Linked DNA regions of Drosophila melanogaster. The protein of the gene in region 3 interacts with the protein of the main gene of each other region in a pairwise test. Each region holds a gene or a part of one and is shown on either strand. Other genes may lie near its edges. The genes, in order: Sr-CIV, ERp44, Invadolysin and CG8089.

Region 1 (3,768 bases), on a different chromosome or scaffold from region 3:
GCAAGTCCTGGATAGTTTCTCCACTCAATGTACCCAGCTCGTTGTATCTGAAAGATACTGCGGTCAGGTTGGGGATCAGAGCTCCTCCACAGCTCAGTTTCAGGGTGGCATCGCCCACAAAACGTTGGATCTCGACACTTTCCAGATCCACACAATTGTCCAGGTACTCCAAGCCATAGCTCGAGATTCCCAAGGGTGGTGTCTGAAAGCCATCCAGCGAAACGTGCCTCTTTCCGGCCACTCTTTGGGCGCCCAAATCGAAGTAATTCATCCCCATGCTACTGTTCTCACTGCAATCTATTGCCAGAGGCAGCCCAAAATCGTTTTGACTCCTTTCCGACGAAGATGTCTTATAGAGCGTTGCCCGAATGACGCAAGCCGGTGGCAACGATATTGATTCGTTGGCGGAAGACATCGCATCGCCAGCTGCCCGCACGTGTGACAAAATCTGCGATACGACAACGAGGAAGACGCACTGCGTCATCGCCACCGAAAAATGCGAGCTGCCCATCGAAGCGTGTCACCGAGAGACCGCTAAACTATCAAGCTCATCCGTGTCCGACCACCTCGTGTGCGAAAATCAAACTGAGGCTAGTACAAATCGCCGAGCGACCCTCACATTGGAAAATTCATACGGAAAAGCCGAAACACCTTTGGCTTCATTTCAATATGATGCTCCCCGCTGGCCATCACCGACCATTTGCTACCCTCTGCTCCCAACTGGAGAGGTATGCTGCGTTCTTCTAGCTTTTGGCTGAGCTTGATAGGTTAGGAAAATCATATCAAAAGATGAAACGAGATGAAACTCATGTGCATCATTAAGTATTTTGAATGCACTTAGATTTCAGAGATAGATATAGTAAAAATATATCAGTGTATATATTTGAATAATTTATTAAAAATCCTATTGGAGGTACTATTTGTGCGCCAACTGGACCTGCGCAATTCAAGTTGTTTTAATATTAAAAATTATTTCTGAGAGTATCTTTGTTTATATTTAGACTGTTCTCTGTTTCTCCGCAGAAGAATGCTTCCTATTCTCTGCGCAGTGCACATTTCTTTCTTTCTCTATTTTTTTCAGCTGTCATCAGCCCCAATTTCCCGCCCCCCTTAATTCCACAGTCGCCCCAAAAAAAAAAAAAAAACACCCGATTTCAAACACTTTTCGCACAGAATCACACTCCAAAGTGGGTGAGGCAAATGTTTACATATTCATCCTTATATACAGCAAACGATCGATGGAAAAATCATAGGCAAGTGAGTTTCCAAGAACCGCATTGTTTACATTGATATTTTAATTGGCCATTGTTGGCTGCTTATTTTGGCTTGGAATGAGATCACAAAATTCCAAATTGGCCACAAATGTATTTAGTAGAAAATAAGAGAAAAAGTCACCAACGATGCAAACATTACTATTAAAGCACCATAGCCATTAAAAATCAGTCCGCTTAGAACAGAACCTTCCATATTCGTCCAAACTCGCAAAGCATATAGATTTCAATAGTTAGAACTTTTTGGCACTTACAAACGCTGTTGAGCTGCGTCGTTACTCATTATTCTAGATAAAAACAATAAATTTAAAGATTGTACAAGACCTGATAAGGCACAAATGAACTCATCTCGTATGAACACACTCAGCATGTACTTTTTATTTAATAGAAATGGAATGCAGATCCCCACTTAACTCAGTCGTTGTTTTCCGTCGAAGCCTAAGAAAGCACGGATTTGACAGAAGTATAGAGTATTACTTCTTGAAGCTATGATATTGCTCTGGGCGATCGTTCTTATATCGAGTGTGGATCGAACAAATGCTCGATGTCTAGAATCTGTGCACTTGGAACACGGTTCGACGGAAATAGTAAATGGATCCATTATTTTTCATTGCGATCAAGGATACTTTCTACAAGGATCGAAAGTGTTCACCTGCGATCGCGGTATTCCTCGAGGGAAAAAACCATTTTGCGCCAGTAGGTGTACAAAATAAGAAAACAATTTTAATTATAAATTAAAGTAAGTAAAAGCTAACATAATTTTTAACAACTTTCAGAAAGCGGTTGCCAGGAATACGAACAAATACAGAACGGATTTGTTTTAAATGCTCCTATGAAAGCTAAAATCATATGTTCGGATGGCCATGGGTTGGTTGGAAATCGCATTGCCTATTGCGATGGCGAGAAGTGGAGCACCCAGTTGGGATCCTGCGCATTAAGACGCCAGACGATCGATGTTTCCTGTGATTTCGAGAGCGAGGATATGTGCGGCTGGACGGCGGAATTGAGCTTCTTGGGAACTTGGAAACGGGTCAGTACGGTGGCCGACTTTCACTCTGAGAAAACGGGTCCCCAAAAAGATCACACGTTCCAAAACCAATCCATCGGACACTACGTGCGCATGGAGACGGAAAGCGATGCTTTTGGAACCTACCACTTCCTATCGCCACTGTATCCCAAGGAGCTCAGTTTGAGTGGCGCCTGCTTCCAGTTTCACTACTTCATGTTCGGCAGCGGAGTGGGTAGCCTGCTGGTGTCCATAAAACCCGTTTCGGTGACTATAGGAGACATATTTAAAACAAACCAGTGAGTTGCTTACTAATTATCTTATCTAGAATTAAGTTTGCCTTATACAGCAATATGATTTTTTAGTCCCTACAAGTTCGACCAATTCGTGATGACTGGATCACAAGGTGCCAGGTGGCTGGAGCACACGATCGATATCAATAAGATGGATGAGGACTTCCAAGTGATCTTTACCGCCACGGATGCGAGGTCCCAATACGGAGATATTGCCATCGACGACGTGAAGCTGATGGCAGCTAAGGAATGTGCCAGGAGGTCTACCTTCATCGAGGAACCAAAAAAACCAATAGAAGAATCGGATATCACGGATTCACTGGGCTACCAAATGACCGACTGCTCTGGTCGTTGTGGTCAGGACTTTGTTCGGGGAAGGTACATCAATGAAGGGTGTCGATGCCAAGAATCATGTCTGGTGAACGGCAATTGTTGCCTAAATTATGTCAAGGAGTGCCATAAAGATCTGGTCATAGCTCCGTATAATGAACTCAAATTCTGGAGGCTTTGGAATCTTTGGAGCGGTGATAGTAATGTGACTGTCGTACCTAAATAAGTTCCTATCCCAATACATTTAACCGAATCATTAAAAGTACTTTTAAAAATGAGTTTACATAATCATTAGAGTGAAATAATTGGTGGCTTAATAAGGGCTGATAATGTCCAGGCAACTTGATGGCATAGTCCAAGTGCTGGGAGCAGTACCTTCAAGTTGCCTGGACAGCTGATGAGCCCAATCTAGTGCCTAGGTCTAGGCAGTCCAGTCCAGATCCCCGTTTAGATCGTCGCCTTCAGAGTTCGGGGGGCTGCAAATCGACCGTTGCTGGTTCCCTGGGGCAGCTGATTGATCCTGATCAGACTGGGTCGATGGGAACCACCTGATGTCAAGTGGGCAATGCCAGCCGACCCACTGCCAACGATGCCCGTGCCACCCTGATTCGTCATGGAGTAGATGTGCCGCCGGAGAACCCTTATGTGTTTCTGCGAGACCTCGAAGTTGTGGACCAGGGTGTGGAGTTGCGTCTGGAGCTCAGCTATCAGACTATCCCGTTCCTGGATCAAACTGGACGTCGAGTTTTGGCTCCTACTCAGCTTCAGTTCGAGGTCGTAGATCTTCTTCTGCAGATCCCTGCGCTGCTTTTCGCTCTGCTCGCGATGGCGGGAAAGTTGCCTTTTGCTGCTCGCCTGGAGCTGCTCC
Region 2 (6,274 bases), on a different chromosome or scaffold from region 3:
CTTTTAAATGATAATTGCCAGCACACGACTTCATTTGAACCGATTTTTATCCCAACACACACACGGTTATCGCTCGTTTTGACTGAATTATATTATATAATTATGTAATCTAATTTAACAACTGTAACTGTAACATGGTACATACGAATAAACATATATATATGTATACATATATAGCTCATATATATGTGTATATATATATATATATAGAGAAAATCAAAATCACTGCTTTGAATTCGGAAGTTGACATCATTCATTTCCAGCTTAGCTGACTAAGAAGGGGATTCCAAAGAATTCAATAAGTTCGCCTCGCCGAAATCTCCAGCGTAATTTTTAACAACAAAACGAGGAAAACTTGAAAAGTGACGCGTGCAATTTGTGGATAATTCAGCAACTGTTTCTTTTTGCAATAACAAAGGTGGTTAAATCCAGACTTTTTATTTTTAGAATTGCATTGAAGAGAATTGAGGCTGCTGCGCCCGCTATTTGCATGGATAACCGCTCACCTGCTGATCTGCTTTCAGAGAAGGTTGCTCATTATTACATTTTTGTATTATTTTCTTTTATTTTCAATATACATTATTATTATTATATTACAGTTCATCTTTTTCTAGCAGGGTGTAGCGATGCTTGGATGGGCCAAGTTCCTTGAATTTGGACTCTGGTGGCGATGTACCCTTGCCAGTGTGTGGGTCAGGTTCAATATCATTTGAGGGATCCGGCCCGTAATGAAATTCCCTGGAAAGCAAAGCAGCAGACCGTTTAGTAATTGAGCCCCATGGTGTTAGCAAAGGCGGCTGTATAACAATTACCTGTGCAGCTTGCCACTGTAGAGATCCTGAAGGAACTGCTTCAGCTTACCCGGCGAGTACATGTCACTGAAGTGGGGGAACAGATACATGTGCTTGAACGAGTCGATGGCAATCAAGGGCAAGTCATCCTCGGATTTACCCAGATGGTGCAGAGGATGCGCGAATCGCTTGCCATCGGCGGTCAAAAAGTTGACGTTCTCTGCAAAATTTCGAAAATACAATGTCAAACCAAATGCTTATATGCAAAGTAAACAACACGATGATTCATCTTACGTTTCTCATCCAGCAATTGACGCTCAATGATCGACTTGTAATCCTTGATAGAATTATGATCGGTTGGGTGGTGGAAGAGAATTAGGAACGGCAGACCCTCCTCCGTAAGTTCCTCTGCATTCTCAAATGTTATTTCCCGCACCAGGGGTACACACTTCTCTTGGACCCAAATTTTGAGCTCATCGAAATTTTGTAGGCTGCCAGTGTAGGTCTCATCGTTCTCATGAGACAGAGCTACATCAGGTCTAAATACTATGATAGGTGTACCTGTAATAGACCAAAAAAGCTGACATTCAGTATTGGCTTGGCATGACTTGGTGCGTTTGATAGAATTCACCTGGTGGATGCATGGCCTGGGCGGCATCTCCGAAGCCCACGTGGAACTGGCAGTCTTCCTTCAGATTTGTCGCCACCTTGCGGAATATGTCGTACTCTGGCTGGTCCCTACGATCGAAGTAGCCCAGAATGAGGCGCTTCTTCGAGTCCAGGTTCTCCAGATCCTTCAGGGATTTGAACTCCTGAATGGGATCCTCCAGCTGCTTCTTGACGAACTCGAGGAACGCTTCGGCTGAACGCTGTCCTCGGTATTCGCGCTTGCTGAGCTGCCCATTGCGTACAATTTTCAATGTTGGATACTTGTTTATGTGGAAACGGGACGCGATGGCCGTTTCCTTGTCGCAATCGACCTTGCCTAGCACCACTTTTCCAGCCTCTGGAAACTCCTCTTTAATCTGTAAGAGAAATTCGATTGAATGCCACGTATTTATTCGATATAAAATGTATATGAATGTATCGCATTGTTTGTAAGCTTTTACTGGCGATCCATTTGACTCACCTTATCTGCAGCTTCCGCGAATATAGGTGCTAAAATATTACTAAACCGACACCACTCCGCATAAAAATTAAGGAAAACCAATTCATTAGACGCTGCAAGAAAACAAAACGTGTTTTTAATGTAGGCACCAAATTGTGTGTAAAATTGTTGATGCGTAGAATACAACTCCGTTCAGATACTAAATATAATAACTTTTAAAAACATATATTTGGTAATATATTTATATCAATATTGAATTACGGGTTTATGTATTAATAATTTAAATGCATATGTATTTTTATGGAATATATTTAAATTTGTCGCTGAATATACATATTAAAGTCAAGAAATTTCTAGCATCCTACTATTCCATAACTTCCGAAAGTTAAAATTTAAGGGGTGCAAGCCTAAGGCCAGGCTTTACTGTAAAAGTTAACGTTTGGATAATAAAAAAAAATAACTTTAAAAAAACAATATAGTATTACCGCAGGATTGTGTACAGGACACACCGTATAAAAAGGACCTATTCATGCAAAGACCAAACTTCGGACATTCTGAGCAAAGAACTGCCGACCAATGGCTAGTGCCCATTTTGGCGGACTATCGGACCGATGCAGCATGAAATATAAACCGCCCTAATTAAGTTTTATCCAAATTCCACACCTTGTCCTTTACGAAAGCGCATAAAACTTATTTTACCACGTTGGCAGTGCCGAATTGAGCGAGCCAGTGATTTTGTTTAGTGACACGTCAATGGGACAAGTCGGCTAATTGATTCCCGCTCACGCTGGCAGCGGGAATGGCATGGGGATGACTGTGATGGTTATGGTATGGGCATATCTCACCTAGGGTCATATCGATATTATCACTGGTCATGGGCACGGCTCCGGCGGCATCGGCCGGCTGTGTGTACTGGAGTAGCTGTAGAATCTGTAAATTCCATAGGATGTCAGTTCTGGTTAGTTAGTTATTTGGTTAGGGGGAGCCAAAAAAAAGCCGGGGCTGTCTGGCCGGCCCCTCCCCACTGTTTCCCCGCCCGCTGATCGAGCGGGTGAGCCACTCCAGTGACCAGCAACATGACCAGACAGAACGGAACACGTCGACTCACCGCAACTAGGGCCACACACGGCCCAAGCTTTCCGATTCCGATTCTGGCTCCAAACATTCTTGTTCGGCTTCCGAATGGCGAATGCGGCTGGCGAGGAGTGGGCGTAGAATTGCGTGCACCGGCGGAGAGTCCAAGCGATCGGTTCTCTTTTTTTCTGATTTCAGTTACACATCAGCTGGAATGGAATGCAAACGTACGCACAATTATTAAGTTTTACAAATTTTTGGTTGATTTTATCGGCTGGCCAGTGTTGGTTAGTCTCGAATGCACATCTCATCGGCAATCGAGTAACGATAGCTTAGTCACATGACTTGGCCATCGCTAACAGCAGCGATAACAGCGATAGCAGCAAACAACGATAGCAATTTCAATGGAAATGAAACAAAAAGTGTCTAAATGAATACATATGCATACATATGTATGTGCAACAACATTTGCAAATCTTTGTTTATAATAGCTGACGCTTATGGATTTTATGGTGGTAAATAGAGCGAGAAAATCTAGAAGCCAAGCGCGTTTTCAATTCGGCAATACGTTTTGAGCTAAATACCCCGAAAAGTCTGCTGAGCGAACGGTTTGTGGAATCCAAAAACCAAATGTGTGTGCATACATATGTACGATTGTAATGTGTTATTGTTGCTCCCCGAAATATCGAAACACAAACATACCTACATAGACAAATATACATATGAGTTTATGCAAACATACACATGCGTAAATGTTTAATTACTTTGTTTATGACAACATACACGGCCATTAGAATACGTTGAGTACGATAATCGGCCATTTTTCGCCTATTGGCTATGAAATCGTGATAATCTAGTCTATTGGTATATATGTGCGTGCGTATGTAATGCAGCGACACACAAATATGTGCATACTATATATTGCGCACCTTGTGGAACTGCAACTGTGTGTGCTCACATAAATGTATGTTCATTGTACATTGTACATCCATACGTGCATATATATGCAGTGCATTATCTATATTGCCACCACGACACTCAAAAACTCAAATATTAACTTCGATTTGTTCTAAAAGTGTTGATTGTGCCCAATTTATCATCCCAGTGACATTTATTTGGCTTTGTTTGTGCACTGCTTAATGCACATGCACATATGTGCATAGTATTATTTATTTATTTATGGGAGCCACTATACTATACGTATCGAATCGTCCCAATAACATCGCACACACACTGTTGTGCGTAATTATGTATTCGGATGGTGGATATAAGAGATATATGCACTTATAAGCGATAACCGGATTTCCAATGACACCCAAATCGCCTTGCCTAAATATAAGCAAATAAGTAATTTCGAATACGTTACATGTTAAGTATTCTTTTAGCCGATTCACACAATGTCCGATGGATCACCGCCTCCATCGATTTGCTTTATCCGTGCCGCCGAATCGTATCCAAAGTCACAAATGGAGAAGGAAGACTCCCAGCTGTTCGTCCCGTTTCAAGAGTGTAGGTGTTCCCCCATATGCTGTAACCGATAACACATGCTAATCTATAGTATATATACCACTAGTGGCCGGCGAATCGATTAAGTACCTGGGGCGCACGGATGATGGTATCCTCGCCCTGTCCAATTATCGGATATTCCTTTCCAAGCAGTCAACCGGCTACGAGACCTACGTTCCATTGGGATTAATCGAATCCGTACAGGTGCGAGATCTGTTCCAGCTGATTGTCAATTGTAAGGATGCCAGCACTGTGCGCTGCTCCTTTCCGTCGGCGGAACAGTGCTCCGACTGGCAGCGCCGGATCCATCTGATGATCGGGGTTCCCGAGTCACTGGAGACACTCTTCGCCTTTCCCTTCTACTCCTGGACCTGCGATGTGCTCGGAAGTGGCAATGGAAGCGGTATCGTTAGCGCCCAGGCCAACGGAAACGGCCTGATTGCCAAGGATCGTTGCCTAACGCTACACAATGGCTTGGCAAAGCCAACAGCCAACGTCACAGCGTCGAATCCTCTGCCCGATCCTGCCAGCGAGACCATCTCAGCCGCCATGAGCAATCGCCTGCAACGATCAGTGCGCTATGAAAGCGACTTTAAGAACGAGGTTGCCCGCTTGGGATTCGATCTGAAGGGCTCGTGGCGCATCTCCACGGCCAATGCCGATTTTAAGCTCTGTCCCTCGTATCCACCCAAATTGCTTGTGCCCTGCTGTATCACCGATGAGATGCTCCACAACGTGGCCAACTTCCGGGGATCACGAAGGCTGCCGGCTGTCGTCTGGCGGCACCAAAAGTCGGGTGCCATCTTGGCCCGATGCAGCCAGCCGGAGGTCGGTTGGCTCGGCTGGCGCAACACAAGGGACGAGCAGCTACTCAAGGCACTCGCCGATGCCTGTGCCTTTGACAGGGGCGAGCACGCCAGGCATTCCACCTGCGCCAATGCAAAGGCGCAACCAACAAAGGGCTCCAAGGAGACCAACGGCCAGTCGGGCTTATCCGGCAAGAGTTCACCATCTCTGGACGATTCCTCGCATGAGGAACTCACGCTGGATGAAATCAAGGTAAGTTTATTACCAAAATAGCCGGGTATTCTTGAAATGAAGGTTTCAGTTACCATATAAGAAAACATTCATGAATAATTATCATAAATTACTTAACACGGAGCAGTAAAATGATGTCAAAACCGCCAAGTGCTAATGAAATAATTTGATCATTGCTCTTAAATTGTATTTGCTTTCAGAAAATCCTCATTGTGGATGCTCGCAGCTACACCTCCGCAGTTACAAATCGTGCCAGAGGTGGCGGCTGTGAGTGCATCGAGTACTATCCCTGTGCAGAGATTGAGTTTATGAACTTGGGCAACATCCACGCCATTCGAAAGAGTTTCCACGCTGTCCGACAGCTATGCGCGTCATCCCCCGATGATCCAAAGTAAGTTTACTAGCTGATTATTAAAGATATATATATATTTATGTAATGGAATCATATTCTTGCAGCTGGTACGGACAACTGGAAAAGACCATGTGGATGCAGCACCTGTCGGGTCTGCTGGGAGCCACCATGACCGTTGTGCACACCATCGAGAAGAATGGACGACCCGTCCTTGTACATTGCTCAGACGGTTGGGATCGCACTCCACAGATCGTGGCCACGGCGCAATTATGTTTGGATCCCTACTACAGAACGGTTGAGGTACGTTGATATACATCAACATTTGTGTTCTATGGACTAATACTCTACCTACTTGCTTGTATTTGCAGGGGTTCCGCGTTCTTGTCGAGCGTGAATGGCTGAACT
Region 3 (5,094 bases):
GAGGCAGAAATGCAGAAGTATAGTATGGATATACTGCTATCCACTTAATATGTAAATGGAAATACATATGTACATGCAGATGCTTGCAACACACATTGTCGATATGAATGCATTTGCATTCGTGTTTATAGTTACCTAGGGAGTTTCATTAATATAGAAACATGTGTAACTTCGTCATATCAAATCAGCACCTGTTTTGATTGTACTGGAAAATGTTAGCATCACGCTTTGATTAAGTTCTTTTCAGTTTAGCTCGTGAATCAAAAAGCTTTTCATCCTGAATGGAGATTCCCTGCAGCTCAGTTTGCTAAGCCAAAAGATAATTTAATTTAATGGCAGTTTTTCTGAAGTTAAGTGTGCGTTTATCGTATTAGAAGGTCAATACAGTCCGCGACATCGCTGACAGGCGCGCACGCACGCTGGCAACGTGACAAATGGTTTAATTTGGCGAATTTTACACATTGCTGCAGTTGTTCTCGCAATTGCTGACAGCCGCGTTCTTCAATTTATATAACACTAATTAGAATCGAGTACTTCGGTTTCAGCTGGACCGCTATTTAATTGAATGGATGTTCCATACGGATGTGAACATATATGTATGTACCATTGGTTCGTTCGCCATACATATATTTATGTCTTTATCCTCCTCTACAAACACTGCTCCTGTCAGGATGATTTTCAGTGGCCAGACAGCAGGACATTCCGTGCGCAGAGAGACACATAATCTGGACGACGGTTTTTTGCATTTACAACAGTTTAAGTTACAGATAATTCAATTAATTACACGCTGGGCGACCTCGACAGCATCGTTAGCCATCAACAGACAGTCGCTGAATTAATTCATTTCCCTGCCATTCCAATTCACTTTTACTGGCTTGAAAACAAAGTAGTTACTCGCTAATTAAAACTTTAGCGTTTGCACAGATTTTTCATACATATATTGTGTTTTATATTGTTAACGAATGAAAAAGTTCTGTGTCCCCTGGTGAGTTTGAAAATAGGATGCATCCTGCCAATGTTTGCAAAAAGCTTATGTATCTTTTGTGCAAACTACACTATAGTTGCTTTTAGCTGCCACACCATATACAGCTGTGTATTAATTTCGTTCTCCACAAGTGCATATATTTGAAAAGTTATAAAACACCTGGGAAATGCATATTTCCGAGAACATTTTATGTTCGATTATACTGCAGTTGCAACCACGGAGGACAGACTGTACCCGCCTCGATACAGTAATCATGTAAATTTCCCCTTTTTGCGCAATTGAAGGCGACCTTTATTTATGGCGACGCGCCAATTAAATCGCCGTTGATTGGAAAGCAGTAAAGTGCAGGCGAAAAACTTCCAAAGACACAAAAACAAAAGCCCGACGGAATGCAGATCCCGAGCAACAAGTTGGCGGGCAGCGTCTGACATTAAACCCTAACTAGATCACTGGATGTGGATGTCGATGTGGTGCAGATGGAGGCGGTTTGGTAACCACGATGGTGGGTTACACGTTATGAGCTACCTGTTAATATGCAGCCCCACCACCTGACTGACAAACTAAACCACATTGCATTGACTGACTGACTGAATCTCGAATGCGCATATTATTAGCCAGCGGAATTAGTCAATAAGCTGTGGTTGCCACCAACCATCGCTAGATGTTTATTGTTTCAGTTTTTTGCCGCTGTTTCTATGGCAGAATTATGAGAATGGCAATTTCAGGGCTCCTCTTAAATCGGCACTAATTAGGCCTGCCTTTTTCATGCCAAAGCCCAATCAATTATAAATTTTCGACGAGCACAGTTTGCACCAATTATGAAATTTCTCTAATGAGCACGAAGGACAATCTGCCCAAATGGCCGAAGCAGAAACAAACAAGAAACTCGAGCATTGAAATTTCCGAAGTTGCGATTTTCCAGCTGATTTAAACTTTAAGGACTCTTTCTTTTGAAATTACCAAACCATCTTCATACCTTATACTATCTTGTAATCTAGCTATCTAGCATGAAAAATCTTAGCTAGTTGCAAGACTAAAAAAAAAAAGACTAATATTAATGTAGTTGGGATTGTAAATATTTGGCACACGTGTGCGGGTGAGCACTTAAAGATTCCGTGTTCCCAAAATAGCCCTTTCCCGGATATTATTTGTTTTATTTGCAAGAAAGGGCGGAGTAAGAGAAGAAGGCCAATTCAACCCAATACCATAGAGTCCAATCCAATTCAATCCAATCCCTTCATTTTTGGAGCCAAACGAACGCAACTCACCTCGTGGGCCTTTGGATGCTGGTGTTGGCAGTTGTGAGCGGTGGCCGAAACGAGGAGCCAAGAGCAGATGCCGAGGGCTGCCAGGAATTTGGCCATGTTACCGTGGGGGCGGAGCGGGGGCGTTTTGGCCATGGTGTTTTACTTCGGGGTGGAATATCGCCGTGGATATTATAGAGTACTCAGCATTGTAGCGGTGATCCTTTTCATTGTCAGGATTAGTGTGATTTTTGTTTAATTATCACTTGACTTCGAACACCCATATCTGCACTTAAAATTCTTTGTTTATTTTCCTCTTTGGTTTGCTTATGTTTGCTGCTTTTCCGCCGTTTGCTTTGTCAATTAACTCGCGAAAACCGGCTCGATTCGAATCCCTTTCCTCTCACTCGCACACATAAACAACTCGCACACACACGTACATACGCACACACAGAGACACTCAATTATTGGGGCCTTTGGACTACTTTTTGTTTTTGTTTTCGGGTGGGTGTGTCCCAATCTCAGCCCACGCCAAAAAAATGTGCATAAAACTACAGCAAACTACAAACTGCAGTTAGCCGCAAAAGGAGGAACAAACTCGCACTTAAATGTCAAATTCTCATGAACTGTCCGTGCAGCGAGAGCATTCTGTAGGACTCACTGCCATACCCGACACAGTGGGCACTCAATAAGCGCATTCGTCGAGCCTTTTCATTCAGCAAAACCATAAAAACACTCGCGCGAAAAGGGGGCGTTTGGGTACCGGCGGGGGTGGTTGGCACGAACAACAAACTTAGAGAGACGCGAGTCGAATCGTCCGACAACGACGTTAACGTTCGCCAGCCGATTTTGTTTTGAATCGAGTCTCTATACATATGCATAAGTACATGGACACAAGGACAGAGTGGCCATTCAACGAAAACGAAAAACGCGTTCTTATGCTTTTCCGAATCTGGTAACACCTCTTATTAGCGCTAAAAAATTACGTTGCCTATCGATATTTCGAATCGACTTTTTTAAAAATCAAGCGTCAAGACATGGATAATTCAATTCTTACTGCTTATGGTCACACCAAAAAGATAACAGAAATGTTACGAGAGATTAGAGTTCAGTGATGGCTAACGTACAAGTGCATCTAACAGGTTGGCATAAAAAACAATAAAAAATACCCTTTACGCTTATTAGATTTTAATATATACTTTCAAAAAAAAACCGCTCTCTAAATTTTATATAAAAATAAAATTTTATTAAAATACCATGACTAAAAATATGTTACTTTGAACCAACTTTTATTTGCCGCCTTAATCTAGTGATGTACGTTTTCATAGAAGAAACGGACGATATATCGAATCAATCGAAGAACGGATGATATCGTTGTAAACATAGATCATTCCCCACCACTATCACATGCACGATTTGTGTACAACCGCGAGTTTGATTAATAATATAATTTAAATCTGATACCGTCAAGAGAAAGTCCCAAAAATGGAGGAAGTTCTCGAGACGATGCAGCTGGAGAACATGCACTGCGATGTGTGCGAGGGTACCACCTTCCAGGAGCGCGAGGGATTCTACTACTGCGTAGAGTGTGGCACACAGAAGGATCAGATTCGTGCAGTGGACATTACCGCCGAGGATAACTTTGATGACACGGCAGCAGGCCGATATACAGCCAGGACGATCCGACAGAAGAAGGATACGGAGAAGGAGGATGAGGACGATATCACCTCGTGGGAATTCTACAACTACGTGCTGCGCGGCTTCCTCCAGGAGCTGCTCAACATGGGCGCCAAGCCGGAGCTCAAACTGATGACCCTGCAAGTGTGGGCGGCTTACTTGGACAGCATGGAGGTGGCCTTCAGCAAGAGCAACAAGACGGGACTGCCTAAACTGAATGTGCGGGCGCTGCCCATGTGGGTTCTTGCATTCTCCTAAAATTTCTTATTTTTAAATTCCGAATTCTTTCAGAGATGCCCGCATCATCTACAACCATAAGACATTCAAGAAAGGCAAAAAGGGCAAGAAGAGCACTCTAACGGGTGACCCAAATGACGAGCGCGCCAAGTTCAGATTGTGGAACAGAACTAAGGTAGTTTATTAGCCGCTGGTAGTCGGTATAAAGGGCAAGAAGAGCACTCTAACGGGTGACCCAAATGACGAGCGCGCCAAGTTCAGATTGTGGAACAGAACTAAGGTAGTTTATTAGCCGCTGGTAGTCGGTATATAGAATTGGTTAGGAAACAGCAGGGGCAGCAGCAGGAAAAGGGTCCGTTGGTAGTCATTATACATGGGTTTTGCTGTATTTATCTCCTGTACTGGATTAGAATCTGTGGCGAATATGTTGGATGAACAATAAGCGTTAGGATTAGTTTATCTAATTACTTTCAGTGACTTCTGGAGCTCCGGGAACAGGTTGTCCGTAGGCCAATGCCAGGATGGCCACGCCAATTAGAACCAGACGCATGGACATATTTGCAACGACACACTTTACCAAATTGCTGCTGACTTGAACACGTTCGTCTTTTATAGCTCCACAAGCTATATAAATGACATAGTTAGCCTATTCATTAGTGATGTTTACTCAGATGCGACTGTAACACCTTGATCCCATTCCTTTTGCAGCGCAATCTAGACGCCTCCGGCTACCGCTCGCACGGAGGAGCTTCAGAGTCCGAAGGGGAGCAGAGTCTCCACCTGCAATGGTCAATGCGTGCACGCAAGTCCTTGAAGCGCCATATGCCGCTGAAGCACCTGGACAAGCATAGCCGCGACAGCAAGGGTAGTATGTCGTGCCACAGCTTGAGACCGAGGGTCAAGCAGCTCCACAATTTTGATCGTAACATCTACTGCCTGAATATTATCAAG
Region 4 (4,468 bases), on a different chromosome or scaffold from region 3:
CCGTTGGAGACTTCTGGGGAATAATGTAAATATGAGGGATTACTTACGACGCTTGGTGCGCTTTTTGTACATGATACGATATCCACACTCGCGACAACGAATCGGATCCCTGGGGCGCATTTCGTTTTCATGATGGCATTCTACAAAATGTTTAAATTATTATTGAACTGCATTTCAAAAAATTTCGGCAGCCATGTGCCCGTAATTAAAAAATCGTTTTTCTATCGAAGTATATTCTCTGGCCAACTTACCTCCACAAATATAGGTCATTGCCGTTTTGACATTATCCTTGGAGCTAGTTTCCGACATTTCTAATCAATATTATTCGAATTATAGCGTGTTTTCTGTAAAAATGTGTTTTGTTTTGCCGAAAAGTGTTTTAGAGTGACCGTTGTGGGGTAAACTATAAAATGAACCGTACTCAAATAATACCTTTTTTCCGGGCTTAGTATATTTCGGTAACTTAAATTACGCCAAAACTTTTGAACTTACAAACAAAAAAGTTGTAATTTGTAAGTTTAGCAAAAATTATAAATTACTCATAATTAATTTACAACAAAATTGAGTATTAGCCCATCTTCTAAAAACTGGTATTCCTAGTCAGGAATAAATATATATTTATATTAACATCAGTGCTTACAATAAATTATTTGATCTTGATTTGATGTTCTAATTATTCATCCCAAAAAATATAAGAAAAATATTTTTTTTTTATTTTTATGAAGTTAAACCTTATATTGAAAATTATATTATTTTTTGAACATTTTTGCTTGTGCCATCAAGTTCAGTTTATGTTTCATGGATCTGTAATGTCTTTGCATACTTCCCACAATTGAATTTCCGCAGGTTTCACAGATTTTAATTTTGACACGTTTTTTCGACCTGCAGGGTGTTTTCAAGTGGGTCTGCTTAGTTTTTATGCCCATTTTCTTGTAGTTATGTGTACTTTTATTTGCTGATGTCATACATGTGTTTGTTGACGAACTTGCTTCAATATCAAGCTTTTCATCGGTGGTTCTTGCCCCTTTGCGGCGATTGCTATCTTTTGTTTTGTCATTATTTTTCCCGAACTTTACAAGGTTATCCTTATGGCTTTGAGATTTGCAGTGCCTGCGGTAATTTCCCTTCGATTTAATGGTCAGATCGCAAACTTCACACTGAACGGTGTGAACTAAAAGATGCACTGCTTTTCGGTGGGTTTGCATGGTGCCCTGACTGTAGAAATTCGCTCCGCAGATTTCGCAGGTGAAATTCCTCTTGTTCAAATGAGCTTTGTTCATGTGTTCCTCAAGGAAAAATTTTCTCGTGAACTTCCTATTGCAGATTTTGCAGACTGGAGTGGGTTGCTTCCTGCAGCCTCCCTTTGGAGGTTCTCTCAACGGACGCATTTTATCCCGATATTTTTGCATGGCTCTATTGCATTCCTTAGAGGTATGAGCAGAGCAGCATAGACGAGAGGTTGGTAGTTTGCATATTAGGCAGGGTTTTCTGCGTTCATGGATTCGCAGTACATGTGAATCGAGGGCAGACTTCAGTTGGAATCTCCATGTGCAGTGAGGACACTTAAAGGGGCGATATAGCAGAGTACTGAATGTTCTAACCCTCTGCTGGTGCTTACGTAGGAATTTCCGGGTGAGAAACGACCTGTTGCAAAAGGAACAGTGAAAAGGGAAGTTCGTATATAGCCTTTCCCGTCTATGCTTAACCATATGCAGCTGGTGGCTAAAGGAGAAGCCATAGTTCTGAGCGCAACTTGGACATTTGCTGAGGCTAGAAGTCTTTCGTTTTTGAATTGGATGTTTCGATTCATCCTTAAAGTACGATTGCAGGTCCTCGGCAACTGGCACCAAGATATCCTCTACCTTGTTAAGTGATAGCTCCAGTTCCTTCTCCTCTTGTGACTTCTGATTCTCCAGTAGTCGTTTATATCTCTTGTTTTCGTGAAGTTCCCGCGAGCTTGTGGATTTTCTGATTATGTGTGAGGTTAACGAGTGCTGCAGATAGAATCGCCTGTAGCATATCTGGCAGTGAAAGTTGTCTGAATAGCGATGCGTCTTTTGATGATCCTCCACGTCCTGCAGCTTTTTCCACGGTAGATTCTCACATTTGTAGCAATCGCAGCGCAGTCCTGGTAGGAATAAAGCTGCAATTTTGGGACGCAGAGCTCCATGTGCTTCCTGGCCTGCCAGTTGGCTAACTGAACGTCTGTAGCCGCTGCTCACTGTATCCAGAATGGCAGCTAACTTTTCCAATTGTACTTTGCGGTTCTTCTCTTCGAAGGCATCGAATATTGCTCGAAAATCGTCCTGTAAATCAGCCTTAAAATACTCATTGGTCCAGAAATTATCGCGTAATTGTGCTGTGCGCAGTAATAGCAGCATATCCGAGCTTCGGAAACGCATAATTTTCTGAACGTCTTCGCATAACTCGCTGGAGAAATCCGTTCCAAATATGGTCTCCCCTTCCCCATTGAATGCCACGTACTTCTCCCTGAATCCTCGACAGCACTTGCACTTGCAGTGGCAGGAAGCAGGGCATCCATATGGCTTCTTGTCAATGCTAAGGACTGGCAAATCGGTTGTAAAGTTTTCGTAGGTAACTAGCAGTTTGCCAGGCCAAGACATTAAGTTTACTTTTTTGTTTACAAAAGTTGAATCAACAAGTGGCTGTGTGACCAGTCACTGATAGCACAGAAGGGCCAAATAAAACTACCAATTAGAGGAGCTGGTGTCATCTCTTGCTCGCTGGAGTTGCCGGACTGCTGCAATAAACAGCTGTTCGAATTTCGGCGGCATTTTATTTCATTAACAATTGCGATTTTTTGAAAACGAAATATGGTAAAAACTAAGGGAAACCAAAAGATAGTCGGCATGCATCCACGTAATGTGTTACGCACGCAGCCCGACTATACCAAAATGGCTATAAAATACAAAGATTTTCGGCAGCAGTGCCAGTTGGTAAGTAAAAACTATTTGTTTTGCTTAGACATTGATTTTAATAAAATATTGCTTAATTTAGGAGCTCAATGGCAAGGTTTCTGTGAACTTTCGCAATGAAAAGACCCTTCGTGAGTTGACCAAAATGCTGTTGAAGGAATATTACGATTTAGATGTGGATTTTGCACCCGGAAGTTTGGTGCCCACATTAGCACTACGTTTGAATTACATTTTGTGGTTGGAGGATCTAATGGAACCTCTAAATTTGCAGAACATACGTGGTATAGATATAGGTAAGCTATGGTTAGTATGTCACAACGATTTACTAAGTGAATTCCTCACAGGCTGCGGCTCCTCCTGCATTTATTCACTCCTTGGGGCCAAGAAAAATGGTTGGCACATGTTGGCTTTGGAATCGAAACCGCAAAACATAGAATACGCCAAGGAGAATGTAAAGAGAAATCACATGGAAAGCCTTATAGAAGTCTATGCTCAACCAGACAACACGAACATCTTTAAGAGCTATTTTGAGCAGGATCAGCAACAGTTGCAGTATCAATTTTGCCTGTGCAATCCACCCTTCTTCGACTCGAACTTACCAAATCCCTTAGGCGGCAATACCAGGAATCCAGAGAGACGACCAGCACCCAATAATGCCAGAACTGGAAGCCAGGAGGAACTCACCTGCGTGGGTGGCGAGGTACAGTTTGTGCAACGCATTATAGACGAGAGTCTGGAGAACAAGGAGCGTGTGCGGTGAGTCAATCTTCATTAGCTGCTGAGATTGAATTAACGTTGGTTTTCTCTGCGTTGCAGAATCTTCACCACGATGCTGGGCGTCAAGGCCAACGTTCCAAGAATACTGGATTACCTCAAGGAGCTGCAGGTGGCGAATGTCAGCACCACTGAATTCCATCAGGGACACACGACTCGGTGGGCGGTGGCCTGGAGCTTCCACTCGGAGCCACTACAGCAGGGGACAACATAAAATTAAGTTACCATTAGCTCTGGTAGAGTATCTTTAAGATGGTAGGGGAGAAGTAGTTTAACTTATTTTGGATTTTATAAGATTTATTCAATAATTTCATTTTTATAGGCATCAGTTTTAATGTATAAGTTCTTGGAGAATTGCTGCAACTTTCGAATGTACTGTGACCTTCACCTGTGCTCATCCCAAAAAGCAACTCCAAGGCACCTAGAAAGCTTTCGCCTTAAATGGAAATTTGCATGTCAACGGTCACTTTGCCACCCAGCTCCACGAACGGAAATTATCGTTTCGCTTTTATCATTGACCACAGCTGACCACACACTTCGACGGAAAAAGGCAAACGGAGTCGAAATGGCAACCGAAATGGAGGCAAACACGCTCACTAAGCACAAGTTGCCGCCGCTGGTCAACACACCGACGTTTCCACACCTTTGAGCCGGGGAATTTGGGCGTTTCGCTTGGCCACCATGTGGGATAGCGAATAGCAAATTTTAATTGCTGCACAGGCAGGTTCCTGGTTTGCTAATTATTCGACACGAAAATA

Evidence for each region.
Region 1: the proteins of Invadolysin (region 3) and Sr-CIV interact in a two-hybrid assay, tested with the Drosophila melanogaster proteins (one large-scale study listed by BioGRID).
Region 2: the proteins of Invadolysin (region 3) and ERp44 interact in a two-hybrid assay, tested with the Drosophila melanogaster proteins (one large-scale study listed by BioGRID).
Region 4: the proteins of Invadolysin (region 3) and CG8089 interact in a two-hybrid assay, tested with the Drosophila melanogaster proteins (one large-scale study listed by BioGRID).

What each region holds. Positions count from the first base shown.
Region 1 is NT_033779.5:3,521,952-3,525,719, reverse strand, and holds Sr-CIV (scavenger receptor class C, type IV), read left to right. Parts: upstream 1-1,663; 5' UTR 1,664-1,759; coding exon 1,760-1,967; intron 1,968-2,047; coding exon 2,048-2,576; intron 2,577-2,642; coding exon 2,643-3,126; 3' UTR 3,127-3,199; downstream 3,200-3,768. Other genes in the region: CG8852 (uncharacterized protein), read right to left, coding at 1-511; CG8851 (uncharacterized protein), read right to left, coding at 3,348-3,768.
Region 2 is NC_004354.4:16,293,303-16,299,576, forward strand, and holds ERp44 (endoplasmic reticulum protein 44), read right to left. Parts: upstream 4,359-6,274; 5' UTR 4,340-4,358; intron 3,938-4,339; exon of another isoform or gene 3,781-3,937; intron 3,606-3,780; exon of another isoform or gene 3,489-3,605; coding exon of another isoform or gene 3,474-3,488; exon of another isoform or gene 3,369-3,473; intron 3,286-3,368; exon of another isoform or gene 3,183-3,285; 5' UTR 3,065-3,182; coding exon 3,008-3,064; intron 2,969-3,007; exon of another isoform or gene 2,830-2,968; coding exon 2,745-2,829; intron 2,013-2,744; coding exon 1,921-2,012; intron 1,817-1,920; coding exon 1,423-1,816; intron 1,353-1,422; coding exon 1,086-1,352; intron 1,012-1,085; coding exon 813-1,011; intron 739-812; coding exon 594-738; 3' UTR 551-593; downstream 1-550. Other genes in the region: CG3632 (uncharacterized protein), read left to right, coding at 3,474-3,488, 4,359-4,482, 4,547-5,538, 5,718-5,908, 5,974-6,169, 6,238-6,274.
Region 3 is NT_033777.3:10,142,692-10,147,785, reverse strand, and holds the start of Invadolysin (invadolysin), read right to left. Parts: upstream 3,119-5,094; 5' UTR 2,386-3,118; coding exon 2,254-2,385; intron 1-2,253. Other genes in the region: CG42759 (uncharacterized protein), read right to left, coding at 4,432-4,556, 4,612-4,699; TAF1B (TATA box-binding protein-associated factor RNA polymerase I subunit B), read left to right, coding at 3,715-4,142, 4,198-4,318, 4,852-5,094. UniProt on the Drosophila melanogaster protein: Essential for the coordination of mitotic progression, and also plays a role in cell migration.
Region 4 is NT_033778.4:15,145,132-15,149,599, forward strand, and holds CG8089 (uncharacterized protein), read right to left. Parts: upstream 2,694-4,468; 5' UTR 2,625-2,693; coding exon 750-2,624; 3' UTR 694-749; downstream 1-693. Other genes in the region: Polr2K (RNA polymerase II, I and III subunit K), read right to left, coding at 48-140, 252-309; CG7544 (uncharacterized protein), read left to right, coding at 2,835-2,957, 3,019-3,229, 3,281-3,692, 3,753-3,924.